Tamandua tetradactyla: one gene and its partners. The protein of the gene in region 1 interacts with the protein of each later gene in a pairwise test. Links are inferred from orthologs where the notes say so. Each region holds a gene or a part of one and is shown in the gene's direction. Other genes may lie near its edges. The genes, in order: FATE1, BNIP3, LNPEP and NDUFB11.

Region 1 (7,307 bases):
AGCTTGGATGGCAGCACATCTGTTTATAATATGGCCTACTGAGTATTTTCAACCAACGGTTGAGACCCACTGCTCAGAAAAAAAAGAATCCTTTCAAAATATGACTGCTCATTGACAATGCACCTGGTCACCCAAGAGCTCTCATGGAGATGGACAACAAGATGAGTGCTGTTTTCATGCTTGCTAACATAACATCAGTTCTGCAGCCCATAGCTCAGGGAGTTATTTCAAGTTTCAAGGATTATTATTTAAGAAATACATTTTGCAGGGCTGTGGCTGCCTTAGGTAATGATTTCTCTGATGGACCTGGGCAAAGTGCATTGAAAACCTTCTGGAATGGATTCACCATTCTAGATGCCATTAAGAACATTTGTAATTCGTGGGTGGAGGTCAAAGCATCAACATTCACATGAGTTTGGAAAGAGTGGATTCCAACTTTCATGAAGGACTTTGAGGGACTCAAGACTTCAGTGGAGGAAGTAACTGCAGATGTGGAAATAGCACGAGAACTAGAATTAGAAGTGGAGCCTGAAGATGTGACTGAATTGCTGCAACCTCATCATAAAACTTTTGTAGATGAAGAGTGGTTTCTCATGGATGAGTAAAGAAAATGGTTTCTTGAGATGGAATCTACACCTGGTGAAGATGCTGTGAACATTATTGAAATGACAGCAAAGGATTTAGAATATTACATCAACTTAGTTGACAAAGCAGTGGGAGGGTTTGAGAGGATTGACTCCAGTTTTGAAAGAAGTTCTACTGTGAGCAAAATGCTATCAAATGGCATTGTATGCTACAGAGAAGTCTTGTGTGAAAGGAAAAGTCAATCGATGTGGCAAATTTCATTTTTGTCTTATTTTAAGAAAGTGCTGCAGCCACCCCAACCTTCAGCAACCACCACCCTAATCAATCAGCAGCCATCAACATCGAGGCAAGACTCTCCAGCAGCAAAAGATTATGACTTGGTGAAGGCTGAGATGATGGGCAGCAATTTTTTAGCAATGAAATCTTTTTGAATTAAGGTCTGGACATTGTTCTTTTAGACATAATGCTGTTGCATGCTTAATAGGCTCCAGTGTAGTGTAAACATAACTTTTATATGCTCTGGGAAACCAAACTACTCATGGGACTTGCTTTATTGCAGTGATCTGGAACTGAATCTGAAATATCTCTGAGAAATGTCTGTACATCTGTTCAGACATGGGGAGACTCCCGAGGCACCAGGCCCCTGTGCACCTCTTCTGGAACCTTCCGTTGGGGTCTTCAGTCTCTGTGGCTCATCACTTGCACAGGGCCCCATAGTTACCACACCAGAGAGTGGAGGAATTTCAAAATGTTTTGGATGAGAGTTTAGGGAAATTTCAGAAGGAACTGGTGATGTTGGAGGGAAAAGATTGGCATGTCTGAGAGAAACGTTAAGGGACAAGTTCTCTCTCTTCCTTCCAGCCATCCTTGGTGGTCAATCTAAGTGAGGCAGGCCTGTGGAGATGGTGAGATGCCCATGGTTGGGAATGAAGTCTCCCCAACTCTTTGCTTCAAAAGGGAAAGCCTGTGTCCCTGGGAAGTGCGCCAGCTGCCCTCTGCTTTTGGCTGAGAGGAGACAAGTCTGCTGGACGTGAACTGGAGCAGAGTCCCTAGAGGGGCTTGATTACTGCTGACATTTCTCCAGAGGAGGGGAGAGCGTAGAGGCAGCCATCTGGTTGGAAGGGGGATTGGGAATGCTCCTTAAAGCACTTTGCATAGCAGGGCAAAGCATTTTCCTCTGAGTAGTGCATTTATTTGGAATGGTTGGAGGGGGCTGATAGAAATTACTATGGGACTAACACCTCCAATCTACTTTGTAATTTTACTGGCTGTGGGGACCCCCAAGAGAGCCAAGAGTGATATTAGGGAAGGCGACAGAAGGAAGTCTTCGTCTGCTGCCTAGTGCCTGGAGGGCACTCCCAGGGTCTGAGCTTGGGCAAGAGAGCAGAAAGACCCCGTGACTCTAGAGGGGTCACTTTACCTCTGAGGACTTCTGCTTCATTTGTTTTAAAATAAGGAGGATTTTAGTGGTTGTGGAATAACTTCTATGGGCCAGGCTATGTCTGTACTCCTGCCCTGGTTTTTGGGTGATGAGAACTGAGACCCACAGAGGTTAAATTCCTTTCTCAGGGTCACATAGTCCTTGCTTTCTCTCCAAGGTTGCCAGATTAAATACAGGGCAGTAGTTCAATTTGGGGTATACCTACATTAAAACATGATTTGTTTTTTCACACAAAAATCAACTTTAACTTGTCCTGTATTTTTTACTTGCTAACTCTGGCAACCTTAGGCAGCGGGTATTTTCAAGGGGTGAAGCCGATTTCCTGAGGAGCTTGGTGGGCTAGAAAAGGTGTGTGTGTGTATGTGTGTGTGTGTGTGTGCCTTTGGGAGGAGCTGAAGCTGTTCTCCAGGGGACTTTTTACTCTGAGAAAATGCAGCAGAAGAGTTAGAAAGCACTCCCTGCCACCTCCTCTGGGGGAGGCCAAAGATTGGAAATTGCTCTCCTTGCTGCCCATGGGCCCGTGATGAGGCCTTTGGACACCTGGGAATCAAAGAGATGATGCCATGTGGGATGGGTGGGCTGGAACATGAGGAGTGGGGTCAGGGCCTCTGCCCTGGTCTGGCCAGTGCCTGCACGGCAGACCTGACTGAGTAGTGCTCTCTGCATTTGGCATCCCTGTCTGTTGGGCCATTACCCAAAGGGCCCTTCCTGTTCCAGCCCTCTGTGGGTCTAAATTTGGCACTCTGCAGAGGGGAGCTGAGCCATCCTGGCCTCACCAAGCTCAGACCCTGGAACTGACAGCTCTTGTCCCTGCCAGTTGGTCCTGTCTGGGCCAGTCTGGTCCATAGGTTTCTCAAGGTTTTTGGCCTTAAGTGATGGGTGCCCCTGCCACCAGGGGGCAGTGCCTCTGCGAGCATCTGGACCCAGGTTCCCTGTTCCCTAGAAGCTCAGTTGGCAGCCAGAAGGATCTTCGGTCAGTGGCTCAGGGCCCTGCAGCAAGCCAGTGCCTGTACTGCCCAGCATCTGCTGACTCAGAGTGCCCCTCGCAACCAGGCAGCCCTCTAACCCCGTTGCCCACTGGGGGCACTGAGGCCCAAAGAAGTGAAACATTTGCCCAAGGTCAAATCTTGAGGTTGTGCTGAGGGTGGGCAGGGCCTAAGGCAGCCAGATAAAATACAAGCTATGCAGTTACATTTGAACCTCAGATAAACAAATTTTTTTTGTTTAGTATAAATAGTTCCCAAATAATGTATGGGGCATGCTGCTTCTAAAATTTTGTTTATCTGAAATGCAAATTTAACTTGGCATCCTGGATTTTTCTTGGTGAAATCTGGCAACCATGGTAGGTCAGAAACCCATGGCTGCCTAGTGTCCCAGGACCCACTGAGCAGCTCTCTGCAGCCTCTGCTTGATTTTGGGGTGGCAGAGAAGGAAGCCCTCCGGGAAGCTCGGGTTTCATGGCAGCTGCTGGCATGGGGTTGGGCAAGGCTCCTGGAGAGCCCCCAGGAATGGAGGCAGGGTCCCCGTCAGTTCAGCTGGGTGGGGGCTGAGTCCCAGCGCTGGACACGTGGGGCAAGGGACAAGTATAACCAGCCCCAGATCATGTAATGGTCTCTAAGTGAGCTCTAGCCTCTCCCTTCCCCCGTCCTCCCTCCTTCCTCCCCTCCCTCCTCTTCCGCCCACCTGGCCCCAGCTGTGCTTAGTTCTTTTCATCAACAGCTTCCCTAGAGACTCTGTGGCTATTCTCTAGAGTGGTCCCGGGAGCTTGCTGGAAGGAAGTTTTCTCATGGTTCTTGCAATGCTGAGCCAGGTTAGAGAAAGGCCATGTGCCTGCCTGAGAACTAGGGGTTAAGGGAGGCAGCACGTGCTCTGGGAGGACAGCTTCAGTGGAGGTGGGCTGGGGGGCAGCCTGGACTCTTTAGCTAGAGCTGGCCTCACAGAAGCCACAAGAGGCTTGGGACTAACCCTGCTTTGGCCAGCCACCATTTATGGGACCCTATGCCAGTCCTTGCCTCTCCCTAGAAATGATAGAGGGTGGACCCCACCTGCCCCAAGATGGGGCCAGATCAGGTGACCCCTGAGCCCAAACAGTTCTCACAGGCAAAGTTTTGAGCGTTATCTCTTCTCCTAAGTTGCTTACAGAGTAGCAGGGGAGAAGGCCACAGACCCAGTCAATAAGATAGAACAAGAACAGAAGGTGCTGGGCCCAAGGCCTGAGTGTGGAGAGGGAGTCTCTTGGCTCCACCCTTCTGCCCGCCCAGATATATCTGCCTGGAGCTCCTACCCCTCAAAGAGTGGTTTTCTAAGTGCCTCCTTTCTGACACGCACCCTGCGCAGCTCTGGCCACAGCCTACAAGTGAACAAGTGGCTTTGATGGCAGGAGAGCCCACTAACACCAAGGAGGAGATGGAAATGCCTTTGGCCAAGGAGGTGAGCCCTCAAGGCCAAGGGCAAAGTCAGGAGTGCCTGACAACAGCAGGTGAGGATCCCCTGAAATGCTCTCATCCTTGGGTGAGATGGCCAGCTGTGTGGACACACATCTGCACCTGTATGTGTATGTCTGTATGTGTGTGTGGGCACGAGCATGTGTCTGTGCCTTGGTGTACAAGCATTTGCAGCTTTCCCCTTATCTCGGAGCTTCTGAGCATCCCATGTGGGTGGAGGGCAGAAACAACAGTGGACATGGACCCTCTGTCTCCTCTGGTCCAAGTTCTCACTGTGTCTGTTGCAAAATATTCAAGTCAATTAATCAAATCAGTCAGACTGATTCTCTCTGCAAACCCTCCCAGTTCTTCCCCTTGGACTTTACCATAAACTCCAAACTCTGTGCCATGGTCTCCATGGCCCTATCAGTGTTGTCCCTTCAACCTTCTCCCTGTCACAGCATGCATGCAACATACAATGTGTATAGCACACGAAGGGCCCCACTCCACAGGGCATTTATATTTTCTTGTAACACCTCAAGCTTGTTCCTTTCTTGCAGCCTTTGTACTTGCTGTTGCTTCTGCTGGGAATGTTCTTGCAATGCTGAGCCAGGTTAGAGAAAGGCCATGTGCCTGCCTGAGAACTAGGGGTTAAGGGAGGCAGGACGTGCTCTGAGGGGACAGCTTCAGTGGAGGTTTTCCATGTCCAGGTTCTTTTTCCCTTTAAGGTCTCTGCTTCAATGTTGTTTCTTACTTTTCTACAAGTAGCCCCTTCTTCACTGCATGTTACCCTGCCTTTATTGTTCTGGGAGTGTGTATCTCTCTATGTGAAATTGCCTGGTTGGTTATTTTTGTTTTGCACTTTCACTCTGCTTAGTACACACATAGCTGGTTGGGTTTTTTGATTGCTGGGGCCTTATCTCGTGGTCATCGCTCTCTCCCCAGTACCTAGTACAGAGGTTGGCCTTCAGTAAATGTTTGGTGACTTGTTGAACAGATGAACAGACTGAGGCCTGGGACTGCCTAATGGGCAAGGGTGAGTGGGTACTGTGGATTGCTAAGAAATTTGTGGGGCTGTCTTCTTTATGGTGTTCCTATACCTAGAAAACCTTGGTACAACCTCTATCTTGGGACCTCTCTTCTTCTTCTAGAAATGACAGAGCAGGGATATTGGTCCCTAGGAGTCTACCAGCGGCGACAGAATTTGGAACTCAAGACTGTCAGCTGTGTTCTAGCCCCACCAGTTTGGAATATGACTGACATCCGCCCCAAGAAAATGGTTGTATGTGGGGTACTTGATACTTGGTGGCTGGGTTAAGGATGGGAATTTTGGCTATAGGTCTCCAGTCTGAGCATGGTAGGTACAGCAGGTCCAGATGTTGACTTGGGGGTCAGCAGAAGCTCCTTTGTGCCAGGCAGGAACCTGAGGGCAGGGGAACCCTTGAAAGATTTAGAACTGTCCTTTGGCAGGCAGGGAATCCAACCCTAGAAGTTCAAAATGTCTGAAGCACTCATTGCTTGGAGAGTACATATAAATGCTATTCTGTAAAAGCTGTACTGTGTGTGAAACGACACTTTCCTTGATTAAAAACAAAAACAAAACAAATGTATGTGGGGTGGGGGTAAGTTGTAAGCCGAGGTGAGTGAGGCTTCTAGGCTTCCTGGCTGTTACGAAATCCAATCACGTGAGTAACTATTCTGTAGCCAATCCTTTAGCTACACTGAAAGTGAGTGAAGGAATGTTCTAGAAAAAAATGGCAGTTACACTGTTGCAAAGGATACTGGGAAAGGGCAACCATTTTAGAAGAGGACTGAGACGTGACTGTTCTAGGGAATCACGTGAGTACTGTCTTTTGTCTGTAGCCAATCCTTTAAGCTTTGTTCAATGTGGATGGGGAAATGTTTCAGAAAAATTGTGCTATACTGCAGCAAAACCTACTGGGAAAAGATAGCCAGGTTAGAGGATGAACACACTGTCCTGGGAACCATGTGAGTCCTATGTTCTGTAGCCAGTATTTTAAGTTACATTAATGTGGGTGACGGAATGTTCTAGGAAAAATGACTATTTTATAGTGGCAAAGAATACTGGGAGAAGACATTGAGGTTGGGGAGGAGGGAGACCTGACTTTTCTAGGGGTTAGGTTACAATAAATGCTTAAATGATCCCATCCCCGAACGCAAAAAGAGAGAAAGAGCCCCCAGGTCAGAGACTGCTGGGAATGCATATAAACCAGAAATACTGGATTTACTTCCTATGTCCAAAGGCTGGAACCAAATCAAGTTCTTCCAGCAGATCGGACTCCAGGAAGCCACCCCTGCCCTTGAGACCGCAGGAGGATATAACCACTCGATTAATTAAATTTAGCTATTAGAACTAGAGAAGTGTCCTTAAAACCCACAGACATTATATTGAATTTAAAAATTAAGACTATTATTTGATTTATTAATTTGATTTATTATAAAACAGAACTATTAATGGAACTGCCAGTGCCTCTGAGACAACTGCAGCATGCAAGGGCCAAATAAATAGTGAGCCTTAAAAAGCACTTTTTTGAAACAATTGACAGCGGGAAATTTGGACATATTGCAGTTCATAGAATTTCCTATTCTCAATCAAATTAATATAAAAGCCTTACATTTTACAATGTATAAAATTTCAAACAGAGTTTTAAAAATAAAAAGGCAAAAAAGCAAATAACTGTTAACAAACATTTAGACTTATCTTATTCCAGGTGATCACAATAAAAGGTAGTATCAGCTTGGAGCTGTTGTTGTTAAATTAATTCTTACTATCTTGAAGTGCTGGCAACAAACTATGTTATCCTAAAGCAAACAAACAAAACCTGCCACTGTCCACT
Region 2 (7,428 bases), on another chromosome or scaffold:
TTTGTCGTACAGTAATTATACCTCAATAAAGCTGTTCTTAAAACTATGTCAGTTTAAGGGCACACAAAGCCTGAACCTGCCTCTGACTTTGGATATCTGAGCTGCTGCGTCTCCTGTTCTCTGTTCTCCGGTGAAACACTGTTGTTGTTTTGTCTTCCAGAATGCTAATAATGCTGGTTCACCCAGGACCCAACTCCAGCACTCCTCTATATTGTCGGCTTATTTCCTTGTATTTCCTTACTGTCATTTCAATCGGATTTTAAGAGCAAGACAGAACTAAAAGAATACGGTCCCTTGGAAACCATAAATCAGATAAACATTTGATATCCCGTATACATAAAGAAATTACACAGCTCAACAACAAAAGAATAAACAACTCAATTATAAAATGTGCAGAGCATATGAGTAGACACTTTTCTGAAGAGCAAATACAGATGGCTAAAAGCTCATGAAGAGCTGCTCACCTTCTCTAGCTATAAGGAAATGCAAATTAAAACTACTGAGATACCACCTCACACCTGTAGGAACAGCTGCCGTTAAACAAACAGGAAACTACAAATGTTGGAAAGGATGTGGAGAAGTTGGAACACTTATTCACTGCTGGTGGGAAGGTATAATGGTATAGCCACTGTGGAAGACATTTGGTGATTGCTCAAAAAATTAAATAATGAGTTGCCCTATGACCCAGCAATGCCAATACTCGGTATATACCCAGAAGAGCTGAAAGCAGTGACACAACAGACATTTGCACACCGATGTTCACAGCAGCATTATTCACAATTGCTAAGAGATGGAAACAATCCAACTGCCCGTCAACAGAGGAGTGGGTAAACAAAATGTGGTTTGTCATACAATGGAACATTATGCAGCCGTGAGACGAAATGAGGTCCTGGAGCTCATGACAGCGGATGACCTTGAGGACATGATGCTGAGTGAAGCCAGCCAGACACAGAAGGACAGGTTCTGTGTCATCTCCGTATTATGACCCTGGTAAAGTTGAGAATGTCGAGGCTCAGGTGAGCCACACGAGTTGCTCTGGATTATAGGGCAAGAAGTGATCAGCTCGGACAGAAGGTCACTGCAGCGTCCTCTGATATTTTGTGCACTGTGATCTGGGTGAAGCCCATGGGGACAGCTGGGGAGTGTGGTGCTCTCCTGCCCGCATTGCCCTCCCACGTCCCTTCTTCTCTCCCTCCTTTCCTCTCTCTTTCTGTCTCTTTTTCTCTCTCTTTTTTTCCCCTCCTCCCTTCCCTAAAAGTAAAAACAGATAAAAACAAACATCTAAGTCCCCATGCCATTCTCCCCACTGTAAAAAAAAAATATATATATGGCACCTCTACCATCTTCTTCCTTACTTAGGTTTCTATATATATTGATTTTCCCCTCCATTCATCCTTTAAACAATTTTTATTGTGAAAAATAGCAAACATATAAGAGTAGATGGAATCAAATGAGCCTCTATGTACTTATGACCCAGCTTCAACACCTCATGGCGTCTATACCTCAATCCTCCACCTGCCCTCTCTGCTATTTTGAGGCAAACCCCAGACATCATATTTCTTTACATAAATATTTCAACATGTAACTCTAAAAGTTAGTAACTCTTAAAAATACCTGACCTGTGTAAATATATCTCAATAAAAATTGCGTTTAAAAAAAAAACACCTGACCACTATACCCTTATCACACCTAAAAGTAATTAACAATAACACTAATTTTTTCAAATAGTTACTTTGTGCTCAAATTTCTCTTTCTCTCTCTCTCCCTCCCTCTCTTTCCCTCACCCCCACGCCAGCCAGTGTCAGGAAACAAATCCATCTCCTTTTTCCCCTTGCAATTTATTTGTTGAAGAAAATGAGTCATTTCTCCTATGCTTTCCCACAACCTGCATTTTGCTGACTGCAGCTCTAGGCCAGCACATAACATGCTCCTCTCTCGTCTGTGCTCTGAATTTGGCAGTTACCTCCAGAGGCTTGATTAGATACAGGTTTTTTGTTTGTTTTTTAATAAATTAAAGAAGTTGTAAGTATACAGAAAAACCATGCAAAACCAGGTTTAATTTTTTTGTGGGGGAAAACCAAACTATTTCACACGCTGTGTTAGGGCCTTCTATGGGGGGACAGAATTTCTGGTTGACTTTGTGTTATTAGCAGCTGTTTGTGATCGATGAGTGGATTCATTCATTCAGGAGGAGCAGCAAAACAGTGATGTTCTCATCCCCATATTCTCCCGTCATTTAGCTGGACCACTTCTGTAGCTAAGGGGTTGGGGGAAGCTTTCCCCTTTTCACTCGAAAGGCAAAGAAACCACCAGCCTGATGACATTTCCTGTCTCCTCTTTGAAGAGCGGCTGGTGTGGGCAGAGAATCCCAGGGCCCTTGGCCTCTCCCCGCTTGTCACCAGGGCACATGGACTCGCTCTGCCCAGCCTTCCTTGGTGTGGTAGTTAGGTTCAGGTGTCTACTTGGCCTGGTGAAGGTGCCTAGTTCTGTCGCTGTGGACATGAGCCAATGGCTTGTGGACCTCATCTGTTGCTGATTACGTCCACAGTCGCCTAGGAGGCCTGCCTGCTGCAATGAATGATGTTTGATTTAATTGGCTGGTGCTTAAATGAGAGACTCAACGTAGCACAGCCCAAGCAGCTCAGCATACCTCATCTCAGGGCAAGCAGCTCAGCCCAGGCCTTTGGAGATGCAGAAAGGAATCACCCCAGGGAAAGTTGTTGGAACCCAGAGGCCTGGAGAGAAGGCCAGCAGGGATCACCCTGTGCCTTTCCATGTAAGAAAGAACCTCAGTTGAAAGTTAGCTGCCTTTCCTCTGAAGAACTGCACATTTTTAATGAAATAAATCCCCCTTTATTAAAAGGCAATCCATCTCTAGTGTGTTGCATTCTGGTAGCTAGCAAACTAGAACACTTGGTCACTGTGCCTCTTGGGCCATGTGTCCTGCAGCTGCAGTTGGCACCTCTGCTGTGGCCACAGCTGCGTTCTGCTTTTGTTGGTCCATTTTTCTCTTCTGGAGCAGCAGTGAGGCTGTGTTTCAAGTCATCCTGGGGGGAGGGGGGGTTCCCGGGTGCAGACCTTCCTGATTGGCCTGGCACTCAGTCCCCAGACACGACCTCCTGCCCTCTCCTGGTGTTCCGCCTGCACTGCACGCCCCCTCCCCAGCCCACAGTGTGCCAGAGTCCGTCCCAATCTCCAGGAAGCCTGTGGCCAGAGGTCTCTGGCCCCAGACCAAGGCCAGCCAGGCCAAACACACCTCAGAGGACCAAGCAGGGGATTCTCCGAGCGCTGGCCGCTTCCTCCCCTGCTCTCCACCACCGGGGCCCGCCGGGCACCAGACAGAGCCAGGCCCCATTCTCGGGCTGCTGCACTGAAAGTCTGAAGATGTCCTAGGGTGTCAACCGCAATTTGAGGTGAAAGGTGAGAAAGGATGACGACTCCTGAGCGTGCGGGCAGCCTGTAAAGGAGCCTGGCTGGGGCACTGCCTTGGAGTGGACACAAGTGGCTCCCAGAGGGCAGGAAGAGGTGGAGGGGCGCAACGTCAGGGCCGCCAGTGGGACTTGGGCTCCCAGTTCCTGGCCAGGCTGAACCCCTCAGCCTCCCCAGTCCCCCAGTGGGTGAGGTTCCCCAGGCGGCATTCCCACACAGAGGAGCGAAGGTGCAGCCTTCCGGAAGGCGCCACATAGTTTGGGTCTCTAAGTGCACAGCAGCCACCTCCACCTGGAAGCCCTGCCGGGGTTCTATTGTGGGGGTAAGGGAGGAGAGCGGGACGCCCAGAGGCGCAGCCGCCCTGGAGCCGGTGGCCCTGCTTCCTGCTTGCCCAGACCTGTCTTTGAGTGTGTTCGGGTTCGGGTTCAGACCACATTAAACAGAAAAGGGTTTCCTCCTGAGAGCCGCAGCCAGCCGCGCGCCGCCGCCTCCAGGTCTGCATCGCCTGCGGAAGGAGGGCTGGGTTACCGCCCCGAGAGGGCCGCGAAGCTCCGCGGCAGCCGCGCCTCTCCAGTTTCCGTGACTGAGCAGCTGCTGGGCCTAGCGCACCTCAGTTTCCCCGGCCTCCATGCGCCCCAGACCCCCAGGCCCTCGGCCACGCAGCTCGCGGCACTAGGTTCCATCGCGGGCCGCACACAGGCCCCGCGGCCGCCCCGCCCCCGCCTAGACCGCGGCACCCGGGGAAGCCCGAGAAAGCCTCGCCCCGCCCCCTCCGCCCTCGCCCCGCCCCGCCCCCTCAGCCTCGCCCCGCCCCCTCCGCCCTCGGCCCCGCCCCCTCCGCCCTCGGCCCCGCCCCGCCCCCTCCGCCCTCGGCCCCGCCCCGCCCCCTCCGCCCTCGGGCCCCCCCGCCCCCCGCCCCCCGGCCGCGCCGCACGCGCCGCACGCGCCCCGCGACCCCGCGCACGCGCAAAGGTCCCGCCCGCGGCCAATGGGCGACGCCGTCGCGGAGCCCACGTCGCGCCCCGGCCCGGAGCGGTCAGTCGGGGCTCGGACGGCGGAGCTGGGCCTGCGCGCTGTCTCCTCTGCCCGCTCTGCCCGCGCTCTCCCCGAACCGCTCGGACGCGCCCCCGCCCCGCAGACCCCGCGGCCGCAATCTCCCTCCGGAGTCATGTCGCTGAGCGGGGCCCCCGCGCTGCAGGAGGAGAACCTGCAGGGTAAGGCCGGGCGCGGGTCGCGGAGCCGGGGGCGGCCGGGGGGCGGGCGCGGCCAGGGGAGGCCGGGGGCCCGGGGGAGGCCGAGGGCCCGGGGGCGGCCCGGGGGGCGGGGTGGCCGGGGGTCGGGGTGGCCGGGGGTGGCCGGGGGTCGGGGGCGGCCCGGGGGTTGGGGTGGCCAGGGGGTCGGGGTGGCCGGGAGAGGCCGAGGGCCCGGGGGCGGCCCGGGGGGTGGGGTGGCCGGGAGAGGCCGAGGGCCCGGGGGCGGCCCGGGGGGTGGGGTGGCCGGGAGAGGCCGAGGGCCCGGGGGCGGCCGGGGGTCGGGGTGGCCGGGGGTGGCCGGGGGTCGGGGGCGGCCCGGGGGTTGGGGTGGCCAGGGGGTCGGGGTGGCCGGGAGAGGCCGAGGGCCCGGGGGCGGCCCGGGGGGTGGGGTGGCCGGGAGAGGCCGAGGGCCCGGGGGCGGCCCGGGGGGTGGGGTGGCCGGGAGAGGCCGAGGGCCCGGGGGCGGCCGGGGGTCGGGGTGGCCGGGGGTGGCCGGGGGTCGGGGTGGCTGGGGGAGGCCGAGGGGGTTGAGGAAGCCGTGAAGGCAGGGGAGGCCTGGGGGCCTTGGGGAGGCCGAGGGTCGGGGCAGCAGTGGGGGCCGAGCCGGGGGCGGCCGCTGAGCAGCAGCGCTTCCCCCCGGGAGGAGGACCTGGGGGGGGGCTCGGCTGTTGGCAAGAGTTAAACTGTGCGCAGTTGAAGGGTTAACTTGCCCCTGGACTAAGGGGTCCTAAAGGGAAAGCCCCGGCACATGGTTTTTCGGGGCAGGGCAGAGGTGACGGGAAATCGGGGCGCAGTCCCATCTTGAGGAAGTCTGTGAAGGAGCAGTTGGCCGTGGATAAATTCACAGTTTATTGTTGCAGTGTTTTAGGAAGTAGCCTGGGCAGCGCTGTGGTCTGCTGCTCGTAGGGTTCGGGTGGGGTGGAGTGGGCTTGGCCTTCTCGGGGCGCCGATGAACCAGCCGAAGTCATTCCGATTCCGGAAGGGGTGCTGTGGTGAGAGGCGCCGTGTCAGCCTGTCGTCCCCAATTCCAAATGTGTAAAAGGCTATTTAAAAAGACACCTTCTTGTCGAAACCGCTGCAGTGTGGGCCTTCCCCGCCGGGGCTGGGCAGTGGGCAGCGTGAAGGAGGTGTCCCCCAAGAGTGCGCTGCCTGGGCAGAAGTGCCTCCCGCCAGGCCCACTGTCCGCGGAGCCCCTGGGCAGAGGCTGCGGGTGCCGGACACCGCCTACAGCTGGCCCGCCTGAATTATTCCTTGTAGCAGCTTAAACCTCACGTCGCAGTAGAACCTTTCGAGTTTTCTTGCATTTTCTGTGGTTTGGCCAGTATTGATTTCAGCAAACAAATACTGCAAATTGAATTTTATGGTTTTTAGTTTTTAACGATTAACATTTGTATCTTAGCGACCATCTTTTTTTTCCTAAAAGAGGAAGGAAGGAAAGGGGGAAGGGTGTTTACCAATATTATATAGTGCTCCTTTTTTTCAGGAAATGAACATTTGAAAAATGATACAGGCATGCAGTCAGTTTTATTTTTAAGGTTGGTGTTCCATTTCTCCTGGAGGGTCATCGTGAAAACAGTGTAAAAGTTGACTTAGGGGTCAGAAAAGTACAAGAAGAAGGACGCTGTTCTGCCCCAGCTCCTTGGCGTTTCAGAGGCGGCAGGAGCCCCAGCCCTGGAGCCTGGCCCTGTGCGCCCAGGGCACCCCTCCCCCCCAGCAGGAAACCAGGGCTCCCCGCAGCTAAGGGGGGCCTAGGCTCAGCCCCCCTGGGTGGGTCTGCCCGCACAGGAATGCCTGGCACACCTGGCTTTTTCCTTTGGCCTCACTGACACAGCCCGGGCCCAGGGGGTGGGTAAGGAGCCTGGCCACTGCTGACTTTTGTCCTCTCTGAAGCAAGAGTTCGCCAAGCAAAGTGAGCGTGTAAATAAGCTCTGGAGAGGACTGTTGAGCCCTTTGAGAGTGCATTTGCAGCCTTCACTAAGGTGGTTGAAGTCCTTGGACTCTTCGGCTGTATTAGAAAGCTGCCTGTTGTTAAATTGTTTTTCAAGGTAAGATTTAGTTAGCCTAAACTAAATCTTTTTTATTGTATTGTATATGTACTTAAAAGCTACAACCACATATTTTAAACTCCTGTAGTTCGGGTCTTTTTTAGCATGGACTCATTCCCCCATTTGAAATAGATTAAGGGAGGTTTTTCTTTCTTTTTGTCATGGAGTAAGATCCATGGAATGTTTTATAAGTCCTTTGCCTTAAAATCACCCTTTTTCTAATGAACACACTCCTTTATTTCCAGTACTGCTTATTTTACCTCTTGGTTCAGACATTAAGCCTCAAGTTGAGGGTCTTTGGAGCAGAGTTTGGGGTCCTCTGGAGGGGAGCCCATCAGCTCCTCCCTCCTTGGTTTAGAACCCAAATTGCTGAGTCACTGGCCACACAAGACTGCCAGCTCAGGAATTGAAAGGTTTTTGTTTTTCTGTTTTGCTTCTTCTATAAAAAGATGGTTACCCGCAGAGTGGAAACTCGCATTGAGGATTCCCTGGGCCGCCCTCTGACTGTACGTGCAGCGGAGCACGCTCCCTGCCCAGCCCCGCCGGGAGCTGCCACTCCGGTCACATGGGACCGCCCAGCTGCCCCGAGACTGTGAATCTGCACTTGGCTTGCACAGCTCCGCTCTGAGTTGATTCTCCCTTGTTTACCTCTGAATGGAGGCCCGAGGAGGCCCTGGTAGCCGGAGCCCGTGGGAAGGGCA
Region 3 (7,036 bases), on another chromosome or scaffold:
GTACCTCTTCTTCTCCCATATGAAATGAGGGAGGTGATTCTAAATTCAGCACTCCTGAACTGTGCTTTATCTGAGAAGCCAATCACAGTGTTTCTAGTTTCCGGGCTGCTAAAACAAATACCGTACAATGGGCTGGCTTAAACAATGGGAATTTATGGCTCTTGGTTTTGAAGCTACACGAAGCCCAAAATCAAGCAAGGCATTTGTTTCTCCCCAAAGACTGTGGCATTCTGAGGCTGCTTCCATTCATCCCTCAGCCTTAGCTTTTCTGCCACATTGCAAAGCGCGTAGAGAGTCTTTCTCTTCTGGGTTCTGTTGACTTCCAGGTTCTGGCTGCTCCCCATGGCTTCTCTCTTTGTGGCCTTCACTATAAGGACCTATTAGGATTAAGACTCATCCTGATCCAGTTGGGCCACCTCAACTTAAGTAACCTCATCAAAAGGTCCTATCTACAATGGGTTGGCACTTATAAGAATGGATTAAGTTTAAGAATATGTTTTTCTTGGGTACGTAACTCCAAGCCACCATGTCTGGAAGTATCCACATTTTCATTTCCAGTGGTGGGTTTAGAAATGTATGAAACACAGCTTTGGCAAATAAGAGTATTTTTGAGAAAGTTTCTTTACGCTTCTTAAGAGACACTAAAGAGAAAGTTGCTTCTTCTTCCCCGGCCGCCTCTTGACCGCATGGCAGTCAGTGTCTTGGAAAAGTACTCACACTGAGGCCACAGGGTGGAGAGAGTGAAAAGATGAGTTCTTGAGATTGTAGAACTATAACTGGAGATTGTCTTTTCTCTGCACGTTATGGGAGATAATAAATTTCCTTATTATGTATACTCTGGTTTCTCTTCAGATCGTATAAATCTTTCGCTTTTTACTAAAGATTTCCGTGGAGAGAAGCACCTCTGAGTCTTAAACCAATTTTTTGAGGCCCTGTTTAGGCAAGGCTAATAAAACAGTTAAAAAAAAAGAGAGAGAAAAAAAATTTTCCTTATTATGTAAACTAGTTTGATATGGGGTTTTGGTTTTTGTACTCCAAAACATCTGAAGGAGTACATAAATGTTCCTTCCTGTATTAGTTAGGGTTCTCTAGAGAAACAGAATCAACAGGAAACACTTGCAAATATAAAATTTATAAAACTGTCTCACATAACCGCGGGAATGCAGAGTCAAAAATCCGCAGGGCAGGCTTTGAAGCCGACGATTCTGATGGAGGGTCTGGATGAACTCCACAGGAGAGGCTTGCCAGCCAAGCAGGAAAAAGAGCCTGTCTCTTCTGAATCCTCTTTAAAAGGCTTCCAGTGATTAGATTAAGCATCACTCATTGCAGAAGACACGCCCCTTGGCTGATTACAAATGGAATCAGCTGTGGGTGCAGCTAATGTGATCATGATTTAATTCTATGAAATGTCCTCATTGCAATAGACAGGCCAGCGCTTGCCCAACCAGACAAACAGGTACCACCACTTGGCCAAGTTGACACATGAACCTGACCATGACACTTCCTATGTAATGACTTTTCTCTCTACTCAGCTGGATCTTTCTCTTATGGCTAAGTGTACAAGAATTCTTTTGGAAAATTATTCTCCCTTCCTTAGTGCTGTAAACAATTCTTAATTTGGTTTAACTTCCAACATCAATTATAAATTCTGAGTATGTATCTGTGAATGGGTGGCAGGGGTAATGAGATATTGATTGATTCCTTTGGTTTTGGGGGTGGCTGGGTAAGGCCTGGGGGTGGCTGGAAACTTCACTGTGGTCATGCTGGTTCTGGCAGCAAGACGCTTCCTCTATTTATTAAAGAGTGCTGAACAAACACTATCATTTTCAAATATAGGCACTGAATTGACATATTGCTTATTTCAGAAAAATTAGAAAAAATATTTAATAATGCTAAACTCAAAGTTGATATGGAATATCCTTCTTGTAGCCTGTAGGTCAGCTGTTTTCCTCTTTACCTCTTTGATTTTGTGGATTGTTTTCATTGACCCTAATTTCTTCACAGGAATAGGGAGGCAATGGCAAACTCTGGAGCACTGGTTTAGAACACAGACAACCTGACTGGATTAAGGGTAAATCATCTAACCTTTCTAGAATTCAATTCCCTTCTCTGTCAGATGTGACGTTTGGATTATCTGACCTAGAGCAGACCAATTACTTTATTTTGATAAAAATGTCCCTACATTCATTAACCAGCATGCTTATTGTTCTTTATAACACTGTTGGTTATTTACAGCACTCATTTTTTTTCTTTCATTCAATTACTATTAGCCCTCTAAATTTCTGTTTTTTAAATGTTTAATGATTCTGAAAATAGTACATGGGTATATTCATTATCAGACCTCTTCTGATAATGAATAGTAACTTCCATGGTAACTGAAAGTGTTAGAAACTTAAAGAGGAAGTTCTGTGTGGGAGGATGAGAGGAGGTCAAAGAAAGAAACATAAATGGGTTTCAATATTAAATTTCTGAAATTATGTTGCCACAAGTTTTATTAAGTCAAGTATAAAATGGCATCCAAGAAAACACTGAATAAAACAAATTTATTATTGTTCTTTTGAGGGAGATAGGATTCTGAACAGATTTTGGTTTTGCTACTTAAAAAAAAAATTAACCTCCAATACAGAATTGCAAGTCTTTAAATGCCCCCTTAATATCTTTGTGGTGGTGATGGGGTGGGTGTGGGGCTGGGGGCAAGGAGTGTGGCAGACGAGATTGGCAAAGAGAGGATAACGAAATTACTTGCCTGTTTAGGAAAGACATTTTGATTCACTTATATTTGCTAGTGCGATGGTGAAACATTTTTACCACAAGTCTCTGCAGAATTAAGACACTTCAGACAAAATACCAGATAACGTGTTTCACACATAAAAGCATGATAGACCATAGCTTTACAGGTGAGGTAATTCAAGGAGCTGTTGAGTTTTAAATATCTCTGATACTAAGTGCTTTGACTGCAAAAATAACCTCAAAGGAACATGACCTAAAATTTAAGGAAGAGTTTCTTATCTAAACAATACAGTGTTTTGTTATGAGATCATTTTAATAAAACCCTTTTCTGAATTTTCCATATAATATGGGAATACTTAGGAACCTATCCTATTTTTGGCTCTGAAGTTCCCTACACCAGGCCAGCCTAAGGCTGTGGGGCAGTGGCAAGAAAGCAGCCTTGAGTTTTCATACAGAAAACTTCTCTGTACTGATCAGAAATACGCATTCTCCGGAAGGGTTTTGGTCAGTAAGAGCGAACCAGAACTTTAAATACCATTGCATTCATTCACTTATTAATCCAAAAATTGTTTATTACATATTTATCCAGGCACCAGAAACAGCTGTAGAAAAGGTAAAATAACCCTGCCTTCCTGGAGCTTGTATTCTTCAGGGGAAAATAGACAATAATTAAACGGTAAACAAAAAGCATTGTTTTAGATAGTGATGAAGAAGACAGTTGCGAAGAAAACAAAACAGGACAAATCTATACATAGACAAATTTTGTCTGTGGCTATTTTAGATTGTGTGGTCAGGAAAGGCTCTCTACAGAGGTGACATTTGAGTTGAGACCTAAATGACAAGAAGGAATCAGCAGGCAAAGTACCAGGCAGAAGGAACAGTTCCTGCACAGAAACAGGTAAAAGCAATGACTAACGTTACTGGATAAAACTTTTTGAGATTTCGGAAACGGCATGAAGGCATCTGTGGCCAAAGCACTGCAAGGGTAGAAGACGAGGTCCCTGACGCATATGAGGGGTTACGATCTTATTCTAAGCGTAACTGATGCCCACTGGAGGTTTTTGAAGAGGGATTGGGAGATGGGTGATATTCATTTCGTATTTTAAAATACAGTATCCCAAATGGCCACGCACTTTGATTTTACTTCTTTAAAATTTAACTTCTAATTCCTGTACGAATTGAACGACACCCCGGCCACCTCTGTTTTCTCAGGCTGTTTGCGCTCGCCGCGGGCTGGTTTGCACCCGACGCTCCCCTGTTGACAGCCTCGGAGGAGCATGTGACAGTTGGCAGGCGCAGCGAGGGGCAGCCCGAGCCAAGTCGCTGCAGGGGCCAGGGCTGCGGGAGGGGGCAAGGAGAGGAGGCGACGGCGGCCCTGCGCACAGCGAGGAAGGGAGGCGGAAGAAGCGGGGCCCCCCACGGGCCTCCCAGGGGTCAACGGGGCCTCAAGATGTTCCCGAGTCTCGCCAGGAGTGCCCGGAATCGACATCGGAAACAATGGTGGCTCGGGGCTGGACACCATGGCGCTAGGGCTGGAGGTGGGGGTGAGGGGTGGGGAGGCGACTAGGGGAGTTTCGGCTCCTTGGGCCTAGCAAGGCGCGGCCTCAACCTCAGCTCACCCAAGAGCCGCAGGTGTTGATTCGAGGCTCGGGTCCCGCCGTCCTTCTGCCCACATCCTGTGGCGCACGCGGCCCGGGGCCTGGAGATCCGGCGCCGGGTTTTGTGATCCGCCCGCATCGAGAGGCCGCACCCGAAGCCGCTAACCCTAGGACCCGACTCTAGGCCCACTGGGCCCTTCGGGGCTCCCTTCCCTCCCGTTGGACTCCAGGCGACCGACCGCTTGGGGCCACTGTGCTGAGGAGAGCTGCGGCGCCCTTTCCCTCGGGCCTTGGCGAACTGAGCTCCTCGGAGACCAGCTTCACAGGGAAACCGATGCTTCGCGGTCCGGAGTGCGACCTTCGCCCGCAGGCTCCTACTCTGTCTTCAAACCTCTGGTTCAGAGGCACCGGCTCAGCAAGTCCTGTCCTCCCGACGCCATTCGAATTAGCCACCCACTCACTCTGCATCCCACCACCCCGATTTAATGTTTTGCGGTACATTTACTCCATGTGTCTTCCGTGTTTGTTTTTTGTCTGCTCTGGAATGTACGTTCCACGGAGCAGGGACTTTTCCAGGCGCAGTATGGTGTTCCCGCAGCCTAGAACGGGGTCCGGGCCCAGGGAGCCCACTGACATTTGGTGAACCACAGGCTGCAGTTCTCGGCCTTGGAGAGCAACAGAGCCGCGGCCTCTTCGGGCGAGGGGCGGGGCTTGTGGCCCCTAGGCCTAACTTTCTACTTCCGCCTTCTTTCCCCCGGTCCCCCGAGGGCTGAGCCTGAGCCTCGCTTTGCCCTCAAGCCTCCCTCCCTCCTCCTGCAGCCACCGCAAAAACCCGGAGCCTCGAAGCAGCGGAGCGGCGCCACCCCTCGCGGCACCTCCCTGGCAGCCCTCGGCGGCCGCGCTGGGCATGCTCAGTCGGCAGGGCCGCTTCAGCTGGCGGAGTAGGAGTCTTAGGCGCTCCGGCTGCAAGGAGCCGCGGCGGGGTAAAATGGAACCTTTTACCAATGGTGAGTGTGGGAGGCCCGAGGCGCCGGGGTCAGGCTCTCACAAGCTCTCTGGGTTGCCGGCAGCCGTGACACGCGGGGACGGGTTTCAGTTGCCCCCATCGCGGGTGTCTTGCCTGGGTTTAGGGGAGGTGGTAGGAAGCTGGGGGCGGCAGCGGCCAGCGCGGGGCCGGGGGGCTGCCCCGGGTGGGAGGTGGCTGGGGGTGGCCGGGACCCAGAGCTCCGCTGTGCGGCGGGGCGGACGGACGCACAACAAAGTTTGGGCTGTTGTGCGCAGAGGAGGGGACAGCGGGAAAGTTGTCTGCCCCTGCTTTCGGGATGGTAGGGTTAAACCGTGGCGCCTGCCAAACCCAACTTCTGTGGCACGCCGGGCTCTGTCCCCTTGTCCTTCAGAGAGTTGCCGGCGTGACTTTTCCTAATAGGGCGGTGGGGGGGTGGGGGCCTTGGCAGACCAATGAGTGGAAGGAGGGGAAACTTGCGGGAAGCCTTGCTCACCCTCTGCCGAAGAGAGATGCCTATCCGCATTGCCACTTTCCTGTCTGTTGCTGAGGCGCTCTGCAGAGCGTTCGGCTTCCTGCCTTCCTGATAATCAGCTTTTCAGTCAAAGACTCGTTAAATATCAAGAGTCCGTCACGATGATATCACAATTTGGGTTGAGGCGAGAGTCAAAGCAGGAGCCTGCACGATGCCCTGCAAACTGCCACGGCGCTTTACTGAATGGAGTCCCATCTCTAATTAAAACGATGGCTTTTGTTTGCACCAGGAGTGCTAGAGTCACAATATATGGGTGAGATGTCTTACCATTGTGCGGCGTTGAGTATAGGATGCCTTTTAAGGATACAAAGTAGGAAAACTGTCAAGGGAGAATTCACGCTAAAATTAAGTAGATTCACTTCCCAGTTGATGTGTGGTTCATTACTTTCAGGTAGTTAGGCTATAGCAGTATCGAGGCCGGTCTCATCCCTGTTTGAATTGTCAGTTACCAGTCAAAAGACAGACATTGTCCACTCTATCCCAAACCTCAGCCAGACTTTGTTGTATGCTGTGCTTCGTTCATGGGGTCGTTATAACTACTCTGTCCCTAATTCAGAATGCTTTATTCTGCTGCCATCTTTCTGTCTGAGCTGATTAATTAGGTTTAATAATGACAACTTTAATTCTGAATTTTCTTTCTCATTTCAATTCTATTTGTAATTACTAAGGCTCTAAGAGTAGTCTGGTAAAGTTATCCAGAGAATCAAGGAAGATTTGAGCTGATTGGAGCCTTAGAGACCATCTAGCACTTTAGTATTATAATATATATTATAATATTGCGCTTGAATATTCCAGTGCTTATTCTTCCATAGATTTCTTGTTTGTTCTAGATAGAATGCTTGTAGCTTCCATGTTGGTAGGATTTTAAATGTACAGTTTCACCTAAATAAAAAAAGAAAAAATCTCTGTAGCATGGCTGCATCACCCATTTGCTCAAGATTATTAGTTGCTCGTTTGATGAACCTGCCTCTACAGAATTGAAGTACATTCTCAAGTCTTAAAATTTGGGCCTGTTTTCTTTTCATAGAATACGCTGTTCTAGATGTGAATATTTGCAAAATTGTCACATATGGGAGGGCAATGGAAAAATCCCAGGGTGGGGGGGTGGTAAGAAAAGGAAGCAATGCTTCAGCTTCTATGTAGGAAATTGGATTTCTAATCCTTGCCTAT
Region 4 (7,684 bases), about 120 Mb from region 1:
GGATAAGATAACTTATAAAAACCAACCACTTTCCTCTATTCCCACAAATACCAGCTTGGAAAATACAATAAAATAAGATGTCAAGAAAGACTGCTAAAGTGTCTAGGAACTACCTTAACAAAGAATAGGCAAGACCTGTCTTTTCATCTACTCAGATTTTTATATCATTGAAACAAATTTTAAAATATTCTTTATATAGGTCTTGGATAAGATGATTACTTACAAAGATGATGATTCTCCCCAAATTAATTCTCCCCCAATTCAATGCAATCTCAATCAAAATTCTTATTGCATGTTCTTGAAGACCTTAAACTTTATATAGAGAAGAACAAAGTTCCACAAATGACTAAATCAACGTTAAAAAATAAGAGCAAAGAGGGATCTATTAAGACATTCTATAAAGCCATAATAAAAAAGTAAGATTTTGGCCCAAGAATACACAAATAGACCAACAGAACAAATCAGATCACTCAAGACAGATAAATGTACATAAGTGAACTTGAACTGGAGGAACCACAAAACAATAGAGAAAGAATGGACTGTTTTAGGAAATAGTACTGGGAAAACTGCTCATACTATGAAAGAAAATAAAACAGAACCTACCTTATATTCATTAGTGGACTGTAGATGAATTGAAGACCTAAGTGTGAAAGGTAAAGCTACAGAGTGAAAAGAATTTTGTGATCCAAGGTAAGAAAAGAGAATTATTCTGACAGCACAAATTATAAAGCAAAAAAAGTGATGAATTTTAGCATGAAATTAAGAATAGGTACACATTCTTGGAGGAATAATTAAATAAAATGCAGTATGCACACCCCATGATATCCTTGCCAACAATGAGAAGCAAAGCATATACACATGGCAACAGAGACAGTCTTAAAAATACAGTGTAATTAAATGTTTAGGAAACAGAATGAAGACTGTAGCACTATGCCATTTGTGTAAAGTAACTATCACTACATATTTTATCAAATAAGACAGCAGTTGCCTACAAATAGGAAATGGGTATGTAAAAGGAAAAAACACATGGCAAGAGGGGGTCTTGTTCTGACCTATGAAGTAGACCTATCTTGAACAGGAAGGTATGAGTAACTCAAACCTCTGCACTCAAGGTCCTTCAAAGCCAAAAGAAAGCCAGCGGCTTTAACTGGTAAGGTCTGAATCAAGTATGTCACCTACTCAAACTCAGAAACTGCTATAGAACATTTCCAGTGAATACAGTCCAAAATCAAATGCTTTTGAAGAAGGTCAAGACTGAATAACACTGGATGATGACCACATCTCAAATTCAGTTTCACGTCTGAAAAAACAAAATATTTTAATCTTACATTTTTAAAAGGGGCAGTAGTGAAAAACTAAGACATTACATATTATTTTTTCTCCCTGAGTTTTTATAAAACCTCTGACTGGGAGAGTTAGGTTTCTTCTTTCCTATGCAATCTTAAAATGTCATGGATAGATCACCTGAAACAGAATCACCTGGGGGCGATCTACCAGGATGATGAGGAAATAGCCCAGTTCTCAGTATTTTACCAAGTGACCCAACTATTTCTTGCTCATACCAGAGTTTAAAAATAACTGTAATGAGAGAGTCCATTCCAAGACAAGTATGACACCAACTTCTGCCCATTCCATCCCTGGAGTGTCCTACTATTTGACCTGGCCTTTCCCATATTTGACCTGGACAAATTCCTGACTCTGAAAGTCCCACCCCTACCCATCTTCCAAATCTCTCTCCTGACCCACAGGCACTTACAACCCAATACTCATCTGACCCCAACCTCTGCCTCTCTTCCTGCAGCAGCTGTCCTCAACTTAGTAAATGACACCACATACCTATCCAGGTCAACCAAATTGGAAATGTGGGATCAGCCTCAACTCCTACCTTTTTCTTGATCCCCTCCCAACCTCATATCCAACCATGGAATCCACTGTGTTTATTGTAATCACCTGCAAACTGTACCATCTCCCTTGTGAGACCCTGAGTAACACAGGGCTGAAACCTTATTTGTCTCATTTATCACTGCATTCCTAGAGCCTAGCACAGTTCCTGGCCCACAAAAGGTGTCAAATGTCTACTGAAAATAAATCAATCATCTGCTATTTCCTCTGTCTGCAAGGCCTTTCCTAGCATCTTCCTGAACCAATGCTCACTTGGGGACAAGCCTAAACTGCTTTGTAGGAGTGGGGGAGGATAACTTACCGTCTTTCATACTCCATATCCTGATAGGGCCTGCGGGGGCTGCTGGGGCCCCTCCTTAGCCGCTGGCTCCGTTTCACTTCCCAGCCACCCCCACTGCTGCCACCATGATCTGCCAGCCTGGGTGATTCCTCCTGTAGGGACTCTAGGGAGATGGGAGGAAAGAAAGGGGTCAAGGCAGCTGGGGCAGAAAAGGTCTCCTTGAGAAACTCTGGTTGTCCAGATATTTTGCTGTTCTTTAGCCTGGGACATTGTTTTCCAACTCCTAGTACTCCTGTAGACCAAAATGGGAATACAACTACTGCTTGGCCTCCTTCTTCCTTTCTCCACAAACACGTGGCTAGAGCCCTCTCCCTAGAAATAGCAAGACCGTCATCAGATAGGAGAGCATCTTGTAGAGAGAGCTGGAACACTCAGAGGGGCCACAGACCTCGGAGACTGGAGGGGTAGTGATGTCACCCACCCATCCAGTATTCAGGGATTTGCCACCTGAGACTTGTAGACAAGCTGCCTGCCCAGGGGAGCGCTTAGCGCTGAATGACCTGCCACAGAATAGACACTTTAAGTACAGAGGTGAGACTCCACAGCAAGGGGAGTCTCAGGCATCCACCAGGCTCCTTCTAGGCCCCCAGGAGCCATTTCGTCCTCCTAACAAGATTCTGCAAGGGGACAGGAAGGAGACCATGAAACATTCTTGGGTGAGGAGGGGGGTGGGGGCTAATTTGGCAACGAGATAGCTGCTGTCTCACTAGGCTCCTGGCCAGCTCAGCTTTGGCTCTCACAGGGCAATTGGGTCAAACTAATATTCAGCCAGGTCCCAAAGTGGCTCTCTCCCCAGGGTTTGGGCCCAAGTCTTCTCAGACGTAACAGGGGCCCTTTCAGAGGCTGTTTCAAACCACTGTGCTATTCTGCTAGGCCAGAGGAGCAGTCAGTCAACTCACTCAACCCTGAGGGTTGCGGAGCCATGTGACCCAGCCAAGGGTCATGATATATCCTGAATCTTCAGGCCCCACCCTGTGAACAGGAATCTGAGAAAAGCCTATCGGTTACAGCACCTGCCCAACACTAGGATGCCACCACACCTTTCCCCATGCATACACACACCAATTTTCTCTTCCTCCTCAAGCCACAGGGAACCAGAGTTACCTATCTCCAGATACCTAAAGATTAGAATCACAACCAGGGGTCCACTTGGATGAAACCCAGATACAGGCTCTGGCAAAGGAACCAGAGCCACAACAGATAGAGGCCAAAGTCACAGATACGAGCCCCAAATAACTACAGGCAGAAATCACAGATAGAGACCCGCAATAAATAAGGGCCATAATCACACACTGAGCTCCCTTTCAATGGATAAGTATCACAGTCACAGATAGAAACCTCTCAAAAGAAGGGGCAATAAACCACACATACACTCCCTACACTCAATAAGTGGGTTAGGGCCTAGACACTGCCCCCCCACCCCCTACCCCACATGAGTAAGGACCAGAGTCACAGACATACCCTAGGGATAAAGAGCGGAGTCGTACAAACTATGAGCCCCCGCCGGCTCACGAATAAGGACCAGAGCCACAAAACATGTCCCCACTGATAGACAGGTACCAGTCACATAGACCGAGCAGACAGCACATCCCCTCCCCTGTGGATAAAAACTAAAGTCGCAGACACCCGACTCTCCAGGGATAAAGCCCAGCGTCACTGACAGTAAGCCACAGTAACCCACTCCCATCCTTCCCTCCCTTCCCCCAACTCGCGTGCACCCATCCCCGTGGTCCCAATCGCGCACGCGCCTTTGGTCTCAAAGGGGAAAAAAAAAAAGTCACCCTCTCCCGGGTTCAGACTGTGCACTCATCCCTCAGTTCCGCGCACCCTCCAGGCCCCTGGCCCGCAGTCCTTCCTTGCGCTCCTCTACGCACCCCGTTTCCCAGCCCCTTACCTCCACCCTCAAGACCAGCGTCGACGCTCACCTTCTCGGTCCGGGCTGTCACGGGAGGGCTCCCAGACATCACCTCGGCCCGTCGCCACCGCATCCAACTCTCCCAGCTCAGCCGGAGCTGGTCAGCGTAACCACCAAGTCCGTGGCTGGAGGCAGAGGGGAGGAGGAGGGGAGAAAGGGGAAGGGAGAAGCGCCAGACGCGCTACCCTCCCCGGAAAACCCACTGCCACCTACTCCCAGTCGATCTCAAACAGCCACACAAAATGGCGACGACGAGAAGGGAACCGGTGCTTCGACCACCATCCACCTACTAAGGGAGCGCGCTCCGCCGGTCCTCGTCTATTGGTCGCCGCCCGCGGTCGGCCAACCCTGGCCTCCTCTGATTGGCAAGCGAATGCCACCTCCCCACTCCCGCGTGCGAACGCCCGCAAGTCGAGAAAAAGAGTGGCCATTGGTCAATCCCGCGAGGCCCGCTTCTTAGAAGCTTGGCTTCCTTTGAAGATGAAAGGCAAACGGAAGCCCCGCCCCTTCCCCAAACAGCAAGGGAACTCGCTGTGCGATTGGCTGTGAACCACCCAAATGACACCGCTTTTTTCCCATCAAGGAAGAGAGCAGACCTGTCAATAAGAAACTCCTCAGCCCGAAGGAGAGGATAAGAGAAGGGTTGGTCCCTCCAGGACATGACAGAGAGAGGGAAAGAGGGCCACGCAGCGCCCCGCCTCATTTGAAAAGAAAATCAGACCTGAGACTTATTTACTGCGGCGGCGGCGGAGCGACAAATATCGCGCACGCGCAAACTGCAGCTGCGCAGAATCGCATTGCCGTCCCCGCCCCTAAGTTACTACGGAGCAATCTATCATGGCGGTCGGGCAACTAGGTTTGTACGCTCGCCGCATTTTGGCTGCAGCTGCGACGCGGGGGCTCCCGGCTGCCCGTGTCCGTTGGGAATCCGGCTCTTCTCGGGCTGTAGTCGCTCCACCTGTCGTGGCGGAGAAGCGTACTCGGGAACCGACCATACGCTGGCAGGAGGACCCGGATCCCGAGGACGAAAACCTCTACGAGAAGGTGAGAGGGAGGGGGAACTAGGACGTCGAAAGGGTCAATCGGGAGCAGGCTGACGGAGCGCAGTAGAGGACGTTCTTAGTTGACCGAAGGTTGCGCAGCTGGCGAAATCCTCTATGAATTTTGCCTAGCTTGTTCGCCTAATTTGTCCCCTGAGAGTCTGGTCTAGGGCCAGATGCGGGATTGGCATTATTTTGCAGACAGAAATCAAACTTGAAGTGGGCAATTCTCAAACCACGTTAGAAGCAATATAGTATAACAACAATAATATTAAACACCAATATGGCGCTTATTCTGCCAGGCAGTGTTCTAAGGACTTTATATGCATTAGCTCATCTAAGAAGCAATAATGTTTTGAGATAGACACTATTATATACCCATTTTACAGATGCGAGAACAAGCGCAGGGATGTTAGATGCTTGTCTCAGCTAACATAACATAACTGAATACATGGTGGAAATAGGTATTTGAACCTAGGTCTACTGGTCTGCTGTCCTGTATTAATAACAGACTCTAAAGTCAAATGGCCTGGGTTCGGATCCAGACACTTAATAGTTACTCATTTGTGTGACCTTGGGCAAGTGGTTCAACCTCTTGTGCCTAAGTTTTCTTTGTAAAATGGGGAAGTAATAAAAACACTATCTAAAGAATAGAATACTATACCTGCCTCATGCAATTAAATTAACCAAAATGGTCAGAACAGCAGCTTGTACTTGGTAAGTACTCAGCTTTAGAAGCTGTAAATTATTATTGGCACTTTCTGCCTGTTGGGATATTGTGAGGTTTGCATATGTAAAAAGACCTGGCACATAATAGGTACCACATCAGAATTAATTTCTGGTTTACAGAGTTAGATTTGCAAAACGCTTATTCACTTTTTACTCATTGTAAATATGTAATGAGGGCCTGCTGTATGCCAGGCACAGTTCTGGGTCCTAGGGATACAGCAATGTGGAAATCAGACAAAGCCTGTACTTTCATAGAGCTTAAGTGATGTTGGGGGAAGACTTAAAAATAAACATGTAAACTATTGGATGACAATAATATAGAATAATATAATAGGTAATACAATAATGTGATACAGAGGATCTGGGCAGATGTTACTTTGGTAAATAATCTCAAATAATGGTAAATGAAAGTTAAGCAGCATAAGAAAGAAATGAAAAGAAAGTTAAGCAGCATAAGGGGATAGAGTGACATGGAGATTGGGAATTACCTTATTAGATTGAAACCACAGAAAATTACCAACGTTCAACCATTTTAAGTGGTAGTTTCATATGGTTCAATGTAGTCGATAAGGTGATTAATGAACACCTCCTAAAGGAATTGAGTGAGGAGAAGCCAGCCATGACTGGATCTGGGAGAAAAGCAGAGGGAACAGCAAGTGCAAAAGGCCTAGTGATGGGAAGAAACTTGGCATGTCCTAAAAATAGAAAGAGAGGAATACAGTGAGGGAGAGAATGTTGGTCCGAGGTGAGATTGGAAACCAGGTTATAAAGGGCCAGCATGAGGCTTCATGGAAAAGCAGGAAGCTCTCATTGATATCATCATCCTGCCACAGAACCCAGACTCCCATGGTTATGACACGGACCCTGTTGTGGACCTCTGGAACATGCGGGCCGTCTTCTTCTTTGGCTTTTCCATTGTCCTTGTCCTTGGCAGCACCTTTGTGGCTTACCTGCCTGACTACAGGTACATGGGAAGTCTGAGAGAGTGGGATGGGTGGGGGGGAGCAGAGGCAAGGGTCGGGGTTGAAGGGAACTCTGCCAGGAATCCTGTTCCTGCACTGTTGGGGAAAGGGGAGCTGAGATGGGGGATTGGATTGGTGTTTGGTGAGGCTCCCTCCTGTCTATTCCTGCTGCTGCCATCTCCAGGATGCGAGAGTGGGCCCGCCGGGAAGCGGAGAGGCTTGTAAAGTACCGCGAAGCTAATGGCCTCCCCCTCATGGAATCCAACTGCTTTGACCCCAGCAAGATCCAGCTGCCAGAGGATGAGCAGTAACCAGTTGCTGAGTGGGGCTCTGGAAGCACCTCCCTCTCCACTCCCCTCCCACCATCCTGCCATCTCCTCAGAGCACCTGATGATTAAAGGGACTGAAAGTCTGCCTGGCTAGCTGTTGATTTTGTCGAGGAGGGGAGGCTGGCAGGGGGCTGGTATCACAAGCCTTAAAAGGGCCACTTGCAGCCTTTTTTTGGTGTTCTGGCTATCTATTGCTGTGTAACAACCACCCTAAAACTTGTAGCTTAAAACAACACTTTATTATTCTCTCTCGTGTATTTATGGATTGGCAGGGCTCACCTAGATGGTTCTTCCTTGGGATCTCTCAGGTGGTTGCAGTCAGATGGTGGCTGGGGCTGGAGCCATCTGAAGGCTCAACTGGGCTGGATGTCCAAGACTTCTTTAGGCACATGACTGGCACTTGAGTCTTTTTCTGTATGGCCTTCCTCTCTAGCAGAAGGGCCTGGGCTTCTTACATGGTGGCTCAG

The links.
Region 2: the proteins of FATE1 (region 1) and BNIP3 interact in binary tests that used the Homo sapiens proteins (3 or more experiments, as listed by UniProt). The two-hybrid records come from large-scale screens. The link is inferred for Tamandua tetradactyla from reciprocal best matches to the Homo sapiens genes FATE1 and BNIP3.
Region 3: the proteins of FATE1 (region 1) and LNPEP interact in binary tests that used the Homo sapiens proteins (3 or more experiments, as listed by UniProt). The two-hybrid records come from large-scale screens. The link is inferred for Tamandua tetradactyla from reciprocal best matches to the Homo sapiens genes FATE1 and LNPEP.
Region 4: the proteins of FATE1 (region 1) and NDUFB11 interact in binary tests that used the Homo sapiens proteins (3 or more experiments, as listed by UniProt). The two-hybrid records come from large-scale screens. The link is inferred for Tamandua tetradactyla from reciprocal best matches to the Homo sapiens genes FATE1 and NDUFB11.

The regions. Positions count from the first base shown.
Region 1 is NC_135353.1:3,542,140-3,549,446, forward strand, and holds the start of FATE1 (fetal and adult testis-expressed transcript protein), read left to right. Parts: upstream 1-4,293; 5' UTR 4,294-4,399; coding exon 4,400-4,505; intron 4,506-5,600; coding exon 5,601-5,731; intron 5,732-7,307. UniProt on the Homo sapiens protein: Involved in the regulation of endoplasmic reticulum (ER)-mitochondria coupling. Negatively regulates the ER-mitochondria distance and Ca(2+) transfer from ER to mitochondria possibly implicating it in the regulation of apoptosis.
Region 2 is NC_135339.1:94,575,861-94,583,288, reverse strand, and holds the start of BNIP3 (BCL2/adenovirus E1B 19 kDa protein-interacting protein 3), read left to right. Parts: upstream 1-4,422; 5' UTR 4,423-4,597; coding exon 4,598-4,643; intron 4,644-5,889; exon of another isoform or gene 5,890-7,428. UniProt on the Homo sapiens protein: Apoptosis-inducing protein that can overcome BCL2 suppression. May play a role in repartitioning calcium between the two major intracellular calcium stores in association with BCL2.
Region 3 is NC_135347.1:34,099,855-34,106,890, reverse strand, and holds the start of LNPEP (leucyl-cystinyl aminopeptidase), read left to right. Parts: upstream 1-4,023; 5' UTR 4,024-5,235; coding exon 5,236-5,335; intron 5,336-5,814; exon of another isoform or gene 5,815-6,115; coding exon of another isoform or gene 6,116-6,119; intron 6,120-7,036. UniProt on the Homo sapiens protein: Release of an N-terminal amino acid, cleaves before cysteine, leucine as well as other amino acids. Degrades peptide hormones such as oxytocin, vasopressin and angiotensin III, and plays a role in maintaining homeostasis during pregnancy.
Region 4 is NC_135353.1:123,090,913-123,098,596, forward strand, and holds NDUFB11 (NADH dehydrogenase [ubiquinone] 1 beta subcomplex subunit 11, mitochondrial), read left to right. Parts: upstream 1-4,679; 5' UTR 4,680-4,994; coding exon 4,995-5,201; intron 5,202-6,759; coding exon 6,760-6,890; intron 6,891-7,072; coding exon 7,073-7,199; 3' UTR 7,200-7,300; downstream 7,301-7,684. Other genes in the region: RBM10 (RNA-binding protein 10), read right to left, coding at 2,204-2,345, 4,137-4,230. UniProt on the Homo sapiens protein: Accessory subunit of the mitochondrial membrane respiratory chain NADH dehydrogenase (Complex I), that is believed not to be involved in catalysis. Complex I functions in the transfer of electrons from NADH to the respiratory chain.